2 linked regions of the Schizosaccharomyces pombe genome follow. Each later gene encodes a partner of the first gene's protein in a complex. Each region holds a gene or a part of one and is shown on either strand. Other genes may lie near its edges.

What was found.
Region 2: usp101 (region 1) and frg1 share a complex: the UniProt entries of both Schizosaccharomyces pombe proteins name them as parts of the spliceosome.

What each region holds. Positions count from the first base shown.
Region 1 is NC_003424.3:2,460,317-2,463,771, forward strand, and holds usp101 (U1 snRNP-associated protein Usp101), read right to left. Parts: upstream 1,867-3,455; 5' UTR 1,819-1,866; coding exon 1,033-1,818; 3' UTR 835-1,032; downstream 1-834. Other genes in the region: pth2 (aminoacyl-tRNA hydrolase), read right to left, coding at 24-641; mRNA-decapping complex catalytic subunit Dcp2, read right to left, coding at 2,410-3,455. UniProt on the Schizosaccharomyces pombe protein: Involved in nuclear mRNA splicing. Essential for growth.
Region 2 is NC_003423.3:2,021,753-2,025,857, reverse strand, and holds frg1 (FRG1 family mRNA-processing protein), read right to left. Parts: upstream 2,010-4,105; 5' UTR 1,910-2,009; coding exon 1,872-1,909; exon of another isoform or gene 1,800-1,871; coding exon 1,680-1,799; exon of another isoform or gene 1,620-1,679; coding exon 1,161-1,619; intron 1,090-1,160; coding exon 969-1,089; 3' UTR 671-968; downstream 1-670. Other genes in the region: origin recognition complex subunit Orc4, read right to left, coding at 1-315. UniProt on the Schizosaccharomyces pombe protein: May have a role in processing of pre-rRNA or in the assembly of rRNA into ribosomal subunits. May be involved in pre-mRNA splicing.

The sequences.
Region 1 (3,455 bases):
TTTTGGTACATTTTTTAGATTTCTCAGAATAATTTTAAAGATCCTGTAACCTCATTGATTACGCTGACAGGCCCAGGACCAATGCCCAAGACTGTAGCAGAACCAGATGCAATCTGGGTGCGACCAGCATCGTGTATAACCCTGGCACATAGCCCTAGAGACATTGCTTGGGCTTGCAGTAATTCCAACGTCTCTTCGGTTTGAGCTTGAAGAGTAATTTTAGCCTGTCCAGCATTTTCCCATATACGTACCAAATCGGGGTCCACCGCAGATGCGATTTTGTAGCAGGCTAAGGCTGCATGCGCACATTGAGCTGCTATTTTTCCTTTGGTCATGCCTAAATCCGTCCTAACGACCAATACCATTTTAGTTTGTCCTTCCGCCAATGCAAGCGCAGCCAAACTGCTGTTTCCTTTCAGCATATCTAAAAGTTCAGTTTCGGACTCGCTGTCTTCATCATTGCTAACAGAAACAGGACTTTCTTTTTCTGGGTTAGATGCTTTGTTGGCATTTTTGGAACTATAACCTCTTGATGCATCTGCTACACTGTATTTGCGTCCGATCATAAACCCCACTACAGCGCCGACAAGTACTGCTGCAGGAAAGGAGGAGATCATGAAATTTACGAAAGGTACTTTCATAACTACTATGAAATTATAATGTCAAAATAATTATGTGTGCGAAACTTAAGAGCTAAGAAACATAATATATACCGGCAACATCATTAAATTGATGTAGTGAAGCGCAACATACTCCTCTCAAAACTATTAATTTGTTTCACAAAATTAATAATGATGCATTCAGAGAAATTAATATTAAATTTCATTAAAAGAACGAAGAAGGATATCTCATATATGTGTTTGAAAAGTTTGACTGACCAGAAGCCAACTCATGGTACTTATTTAAATTTAGGCGTCTCCAATCTTCTATGCGCTTCTCCATTTTAACATGATAACTCGAAGAAAGAATGAGTAATCAAGAGTATACAAAAAATTATGTTTAGCGTTAACATTGAAGTGAGACTTTCTAACATCAATTGTAGCGACGACGCTTAGGGGAACTATCTCTTCCTCCATAGTCTGAAGAGTGAGAGGAGCGAGTAGGACCACGACCAAATCTTGACCCTCCTCCAGAAGATTTTCGAAATCCTCCTCGATAGCCACCACGAAATCCAGAGTCGCCACGAAATCGGGATCCCCGTTCCCGTCGCGGCCTTTCTTTTGTATAATGTCGCCCGCCAAGTCCACCACCTAACTTACGCGGTAGCCATCCTTTTACAGTTCTACCTCTTTCGACATCGACCACTATCCGCCTTCCATTTAGCATCAAACCAGCTGATGCTTTGTAAGCAACTTTTAAATCTCGTTCCCTTTCAAACACAACAAATGCATATCCCATTGATTTTCCTGTAACTTTATTACGAACAACTCGTATGCGCTCGATAGGCCCATATCGAGTAAATTCTCGTTCAATATCGCTTTCCTTGGTATCATAGCTTAACCGAGAAAGAAACATAGTTTTATATGGATCTCCAATGACATGGCGATCGTGATCAGGATCCCATACCTTAATCATGGACCGTAATCTTTCTCGTTGCTGTTTTTGTTTCTCGTCTCTAAGACGCAAACGCTTTTCTTCCAAGCTTTCAGTCGGGTGATATTGTTGATCGTGAGACTGCGCATATTTCAGATATTTTGCTATGCCTGAAACGCGAGGTGTTGAACGTTTCTCAGGAGGCACATCCATAGGAGGCAGATACCTCAATGGGGGACGTGGAGCAAACAATGCAAGTAGAGGAGCCGGTAATTTTTCAGCCATTCTATATGAATTGTTTTTTTTTATTTAGAAGTGTGTGGGTGCAATGCTGTGTAGGGTATATCCCAGTAAAGCGATATTGCCTGTATAATAAGTGCTATGTGGGGGCGTACAGTACAATTTTTTCGCTTATTATTAAAATATGTAAGCAAATTATATAGTCATATTTATTTGACATAAAAGGGAAGCAAATATGTATTTACCCTATGAATAAACCTAGTACACGCATGGGCTGCATCAAAAGGAAACCTCATAATTTTAAAGGACGAAAAGCCTCACCAGCTAATAAAAGTTAGGGAAATCCTTATTTCAACGTTGAATTCATGCATGATTAAAACGACAACAACAGAACATTGAGTAGACCGTTATTCTCAACAAAAAGTGATAGAAAAAAATGAAAAGAGCCACTAGATTAACTCAGTGTTCAACATTAACATCTAAGTCTCATTTAAAGTCAGTAGTCTTGATATTCATTAACAATTTGAATGTAAAACGAAAAATAAACATTAAAGGAATAACTTTAGAAGAGAATACCATATGTGTATTACACAGTCGTTCATTAGTTTCTAATGCAATGCCAATTAGAATAACAAATTAATGAAGACCATTGGAGTTAGAAGACACGACAGATTGTAAATATGACAGAAAATGATCATCAGACCCTTTGAAATCGGATTCCTGGGTATCTTCCTTTTTTTGATCTGCCAAAGGCGAACGTTTTAAAATCTTAACGAAACCAGGACTCATATCAACATGGTTTTTGTTGGTTTCCGAATTCTCCTTCTTCTTTCTATTTTTCAATTTTGATTGCGATAATTCGTTTCGTTTAGGAGGAACCTCAGACTTTTGTTGCGGAGATACTTTTAGTAAATCAAACTGATTAGCGGCTTCTAGTGGCTCATCATTTCTGGGAATACGAAGTGTCTTCTTTAACAAATCAGTGCTTTTGCTGTAGTTTTTGACCTCCAACTCCTTTACCTGACTGGAAGCTTTGCGTTCGTTATTCTGTGATTTATTTTGCAAATCGTTTGCAGGAGTAGGCAATCCAGATTTAAGAAGTGTAAGTAAACTTAACGAATCAGATGTCTTTTTCGGTGTTTCCTCTTTTGTTTCGGTTGCGGATGGATGTAAGAGAGCTTGAAGTAATTGTGCGGAGTGTACAGAATTGGCGTTAGGATTATTACAACTTTCACCATGCAAATTATCTGATATTTCCTCTCCTTGACTATTGTCAGAAAATTTCTTTGTCTCTAATGAATTAGGCGTCAAAAAAAGATTCGCTAATTGAACATTTGCCTCTTTGCTTAACGTAGAAGATGAGGGTGTCGTATCCTGCTGAGAGAGCATACTTAATAACCTTTTTGAATTTGAGTCTCCTTCCGAATTATATGATTGACCTGAGTTATCGGAATTTCGAGCTAAAAACTGAGTCTGAGATTGAAAAGGAGGAAGAGAAGAAATTTGTTGAGTCTGATGACCATTTACATAGGGAGAAGAAGATCCGTATGCTGGTTGCGGAGTTTTGCCTAAACCATAGGAACTAACGGAAGTCGAAGTGGGAGGATAAAAAACTTGATGATAAACAGTACTTGGCGAGGGCAATTCCATTGGAGAAGGCATGTCGCTAGCGGCAAATAAAT
Region 2 (4,105 bases), on another chromosome or scaffold:
TCTTCCACGTCTGCGAGGAGCTTCATTGAGACGCAAAGGTGAAGGTGAAGGCGGAGCTAAAGTCGTAGTTGAAATATTATTATCCTGAAATAAAGTGACAGCGGCAATATCTTGCAATTTTGCTTGAGAGGCAGTTAATCCATTATTTGCATCATCATTCGTAGAATTGGGATACTGCTGATCATCATTACCACTTGATAAATTTTGAACATTTGAGGTCTCATTAGTTATGTTTGTCTGGTATTCATTTTCCTTATTTTCATAGATTGCTTCTGTGTCCAAATTCCCAAGATTTGTGAATGGGGATGAGCTCATATTAAAAACTTGAAGATGCACATCCCTATGGTTTTTATACACTGTAAAAATAATGATCCTCTAAATTTAGCCTTTTTATTAACAAATGCAATTAATTGGTCTCTTTTCTAATTATTTTTTTCAATTTCCTCTTGACTTGACAGATGCAGGGTGTTACTTCGATTCTTGGTAAAGGTGAGCAGTAAGATTGGCGTACAGCCTTAAGGACAGGGCCAGTATAGAAATATATTTTTGAAGCTGAAATAATGACTAGGTAATAGTAGTAATAATCTAAAACTATTTTAATCTTTTTCAAGCGATGCTGATGACTATAATTATTTACTTGTTGCATTTATTTGTAAAACCATACATGTATGAAGGGAATGAATTTCAACAGATTCATTAAATATTCATTTTTTATTAAAAAAAAATAGTTCGTTAAAATTAAGGAATGAAGTAAAACACTTCACTTTTGAAATGAGTAATTACCATAAAGCTTTGTAAATTCATACATAAAAGTAGTGAATAGCTGAAAGGAGTCTCAATAGCTATACAAGGTGCCTAAAATTCAAGAGAAAAAATCAAATCTGTTTTTGCTAGCTTTGGTCCAGCAGGTAATCGTACATTAATCAGTAAGTCAAGATATTAATGGTTTATCAAGAATATCCGAAAAATTAACCATATTTGTCGCTCCTTGAAGATACTCGTAAATCTAGTAATGCTTCATGAAGAACTCCTTCCTTAAACGCTTTTTTGAGGGTCTTTTTTTCATCGGTAGAAAGTTTTCTTCCAGCCCTGTAAAATTACAAAGTTAGAATGACGAAAGTAGAAGGGAAACCCCAATAAAATAGAATAGCATAACTTACATAGATTCTAATTGTCTGGAATGTATGGTTGGGTTGTCAAATAAAGAAGACTTGTTTTTCTTTAGGAAACGAGTTTGTACTCGAATTCTCCATTTGGCTTCAGGAATGACAGTGTCAGAGACACATGCAATGGCCTGATCTTGTTTTTCTCTACTTAATGTTAAATATTTTTTCGTTGATACACTTTTCCAAGCCCAAAATCCTGAGCCCAGATTCTCCGCTATCCATTGTTCCTGTGATCCTACCGCCTCTTGCGTACAATACAAGTCTCCAGACTTACTACATGACATGTATTTACCTAAACAGCTTTTCAATAGTATAGTATTGTTCAGTATGGATAACAAAAACACCTGGCGCGTCAATTCTGGCTCTAGCGAAACTTTGTCGAGGGGAAGAAGAACGCAACTTTCTTTAACTTCTTCAATTCCAAGAGATACACCAGCATCATCGTCTATTTTACTACATAAAGTTGTAAGTAAATTAGAAAAAAAGGTATAAGAATATTGAAGTTAAGCTTACTATATAACCGCTGGACCCTCAAGCTCATTTAGCTCGTTTGCGTCCGTCCAAAAAGGATCGTTTTCAGCTGATTCTAGAGAAGATTGAAGTGATTTTGTGTTCTTTTTTTTCTTCTTTTGACTGATTTCTTGTTAGTGATGAACAATATAATATGAATTACCACATTCGAGCAGTTATTTCATTTTATCTTACATCTTTTTGTCTCCCTTGAAAGTTAATCGCATAGACATTTTACCATCAGTAAATTACCAAGAATTTAAACGATTAAAAATCCTTAAAAATGATAATTGTTAATAATGGATAATGACTAAATATTTATGCGTGGTTTTCGAGGAAAAAGCAAGTAGTGGGAGTAGTGTTAAGGATTTGAACAGACCAGATGCTTCTTCGTGCTGAAATCCAATATGTTCTGAGGAATAGGCAAGGTACTCTTAGCAAAACAAAAGAGGTTCAAACGTTTTTAATAAGCAAGGAAATGCTTTATATGAATAGAAATGTTCTGTTGCTCACAATGTGACTTTTGTGACCCATGCTAATGTTGGTTTGTAAAATGGATGATTTGCATAACATTCTAATGGCTTGAGAAAGAAAAAAAATGTGCTTAATTGAATGATAATTTTGAATATAGATGAGAGAAGAAGTATGCACCGAAGACTAGCATTGTTCAATACCAAAAACATTCGTTGAAGGACGAGTCATATTCCAAAAAAGGAAGTCCATTGATGACAATAAGAATTTTTTTTTGCTTATTCAGTTGAAAGCTTACAAAAGATGAGCACTGTTTCAATTTACTTATTACTATGTGAATAAGTGTAGCCATAATACCTGCATATTAAAAACAGCACAAAAGTGGATGAAAATATTTGAGTGATAAAAAAACAATAGTATTAATTTTGTTATTTAATCTATTAACTTGATTATTGTTGTACAAATGAACTTGGAAATTCCAAAACATTCAAAAAAAAAAAAAAAAAAAAAAAAAAAACTAACTCGTTAGTTAATAAGGTTATTTTTTAACGACTTTTACATTCATCTAAACCAAATGCTGAAACATGAAAATTTTAATGTTTGTAATAAAATAAATATTTTTAAAAAATAAATAATAAATATAAGAATTTATTTTTATCTAATATACTAACCATATGCGTAATATGTTAGTTTCTTAATCACGGTGAATAAATTTCTTTTTTTTTTTTTTTTTTTTTTTTTCTTAAAAAATTTTTAATCAAAAAATTATTGCTGATGGCAAATAAAAACAATGGTTTAATTATTAATGCAAGTGCGCAATTTTTCATTATTGGTTTTGATATATAAATTGAGGCCACGTGAATATCTAGTAAATATGGAAAATCTACAATTTCGTTTTGGACACAATTAAGCAAACATTGGTAACAATTGAACGGATGTATGGACTTGATAAATAATATGATAAGCCTCAACCACATAAAAATAAAATTTAAATAAATAAATAAATAATATTAAGAATATACATATAAGGAATTTCAGCAATATAATTCAATAGCTTTCCATTAATATGCTCAGTGAATAAATATAAATATAAATATTTATCTGTTAACTTTTAGTTGCCAAACAATGTTTTAAACCACAAATTCAGCAATTAATGTTCTTCTTGAGCATAAGCTCGCAAATTATTATTTAATTTTTTTTTTAATTTAGCATATGCATTCATTATTCCGATATGGCCATTTCTTTGCAATGAAATTAGGTGGCACGCATTGGAGTCCAATTGGTGAAAGTAATGATTCATTAAAGTCCAAATGGGCTGAGTGCTAAATTTGCTCAGAATTGAATAATTAAATTAATTGTTGATTGTCACACAATCGCCATCGCTAGACAATACAATTCCATACTGATCGCAAAGCTGGTCAGGAACCCGACCATTCTAATATGGTTTATCTCAATCCATAGAAGGATGGGTAAAAATAGGTCAATATTAGAGCGCAATTTTAATTGTGCGAAACAACAAATGAAAGAAAAAGACTAAAGAAATAGAAAAAAATTGACTTAGTTATTACAACTTCTGCGATCTTGTAAACATTGATGTAACATAACATGCTGCCCTGATTTTACTATTACTATTACTCTAAGTACGACCTAATAATTGCATGTGGCCAGCTCCATGCGGTACTGTCTAGAAATCCTTAAAATAATATTGTTAGATATATTTAAAATATACAGCGATATCCATCCAAAAGAGAGCACAAAGGAAAGATCCCCGCTACCAGTCAGTTTGCCTTTGTTGAATTAGCAGCCTTCTCATTAAACCCCTTTTACGAATTTTACTGGACGCAAGCGTACACCCGTGCAGATTGCAACAGCTCACTTTGACCTTCCTTTCCTCCAATTCGCTCCGACTTTCCTATCATAAACCAATCAAAATCTGTCTACTTTGCATTAAACTTTAG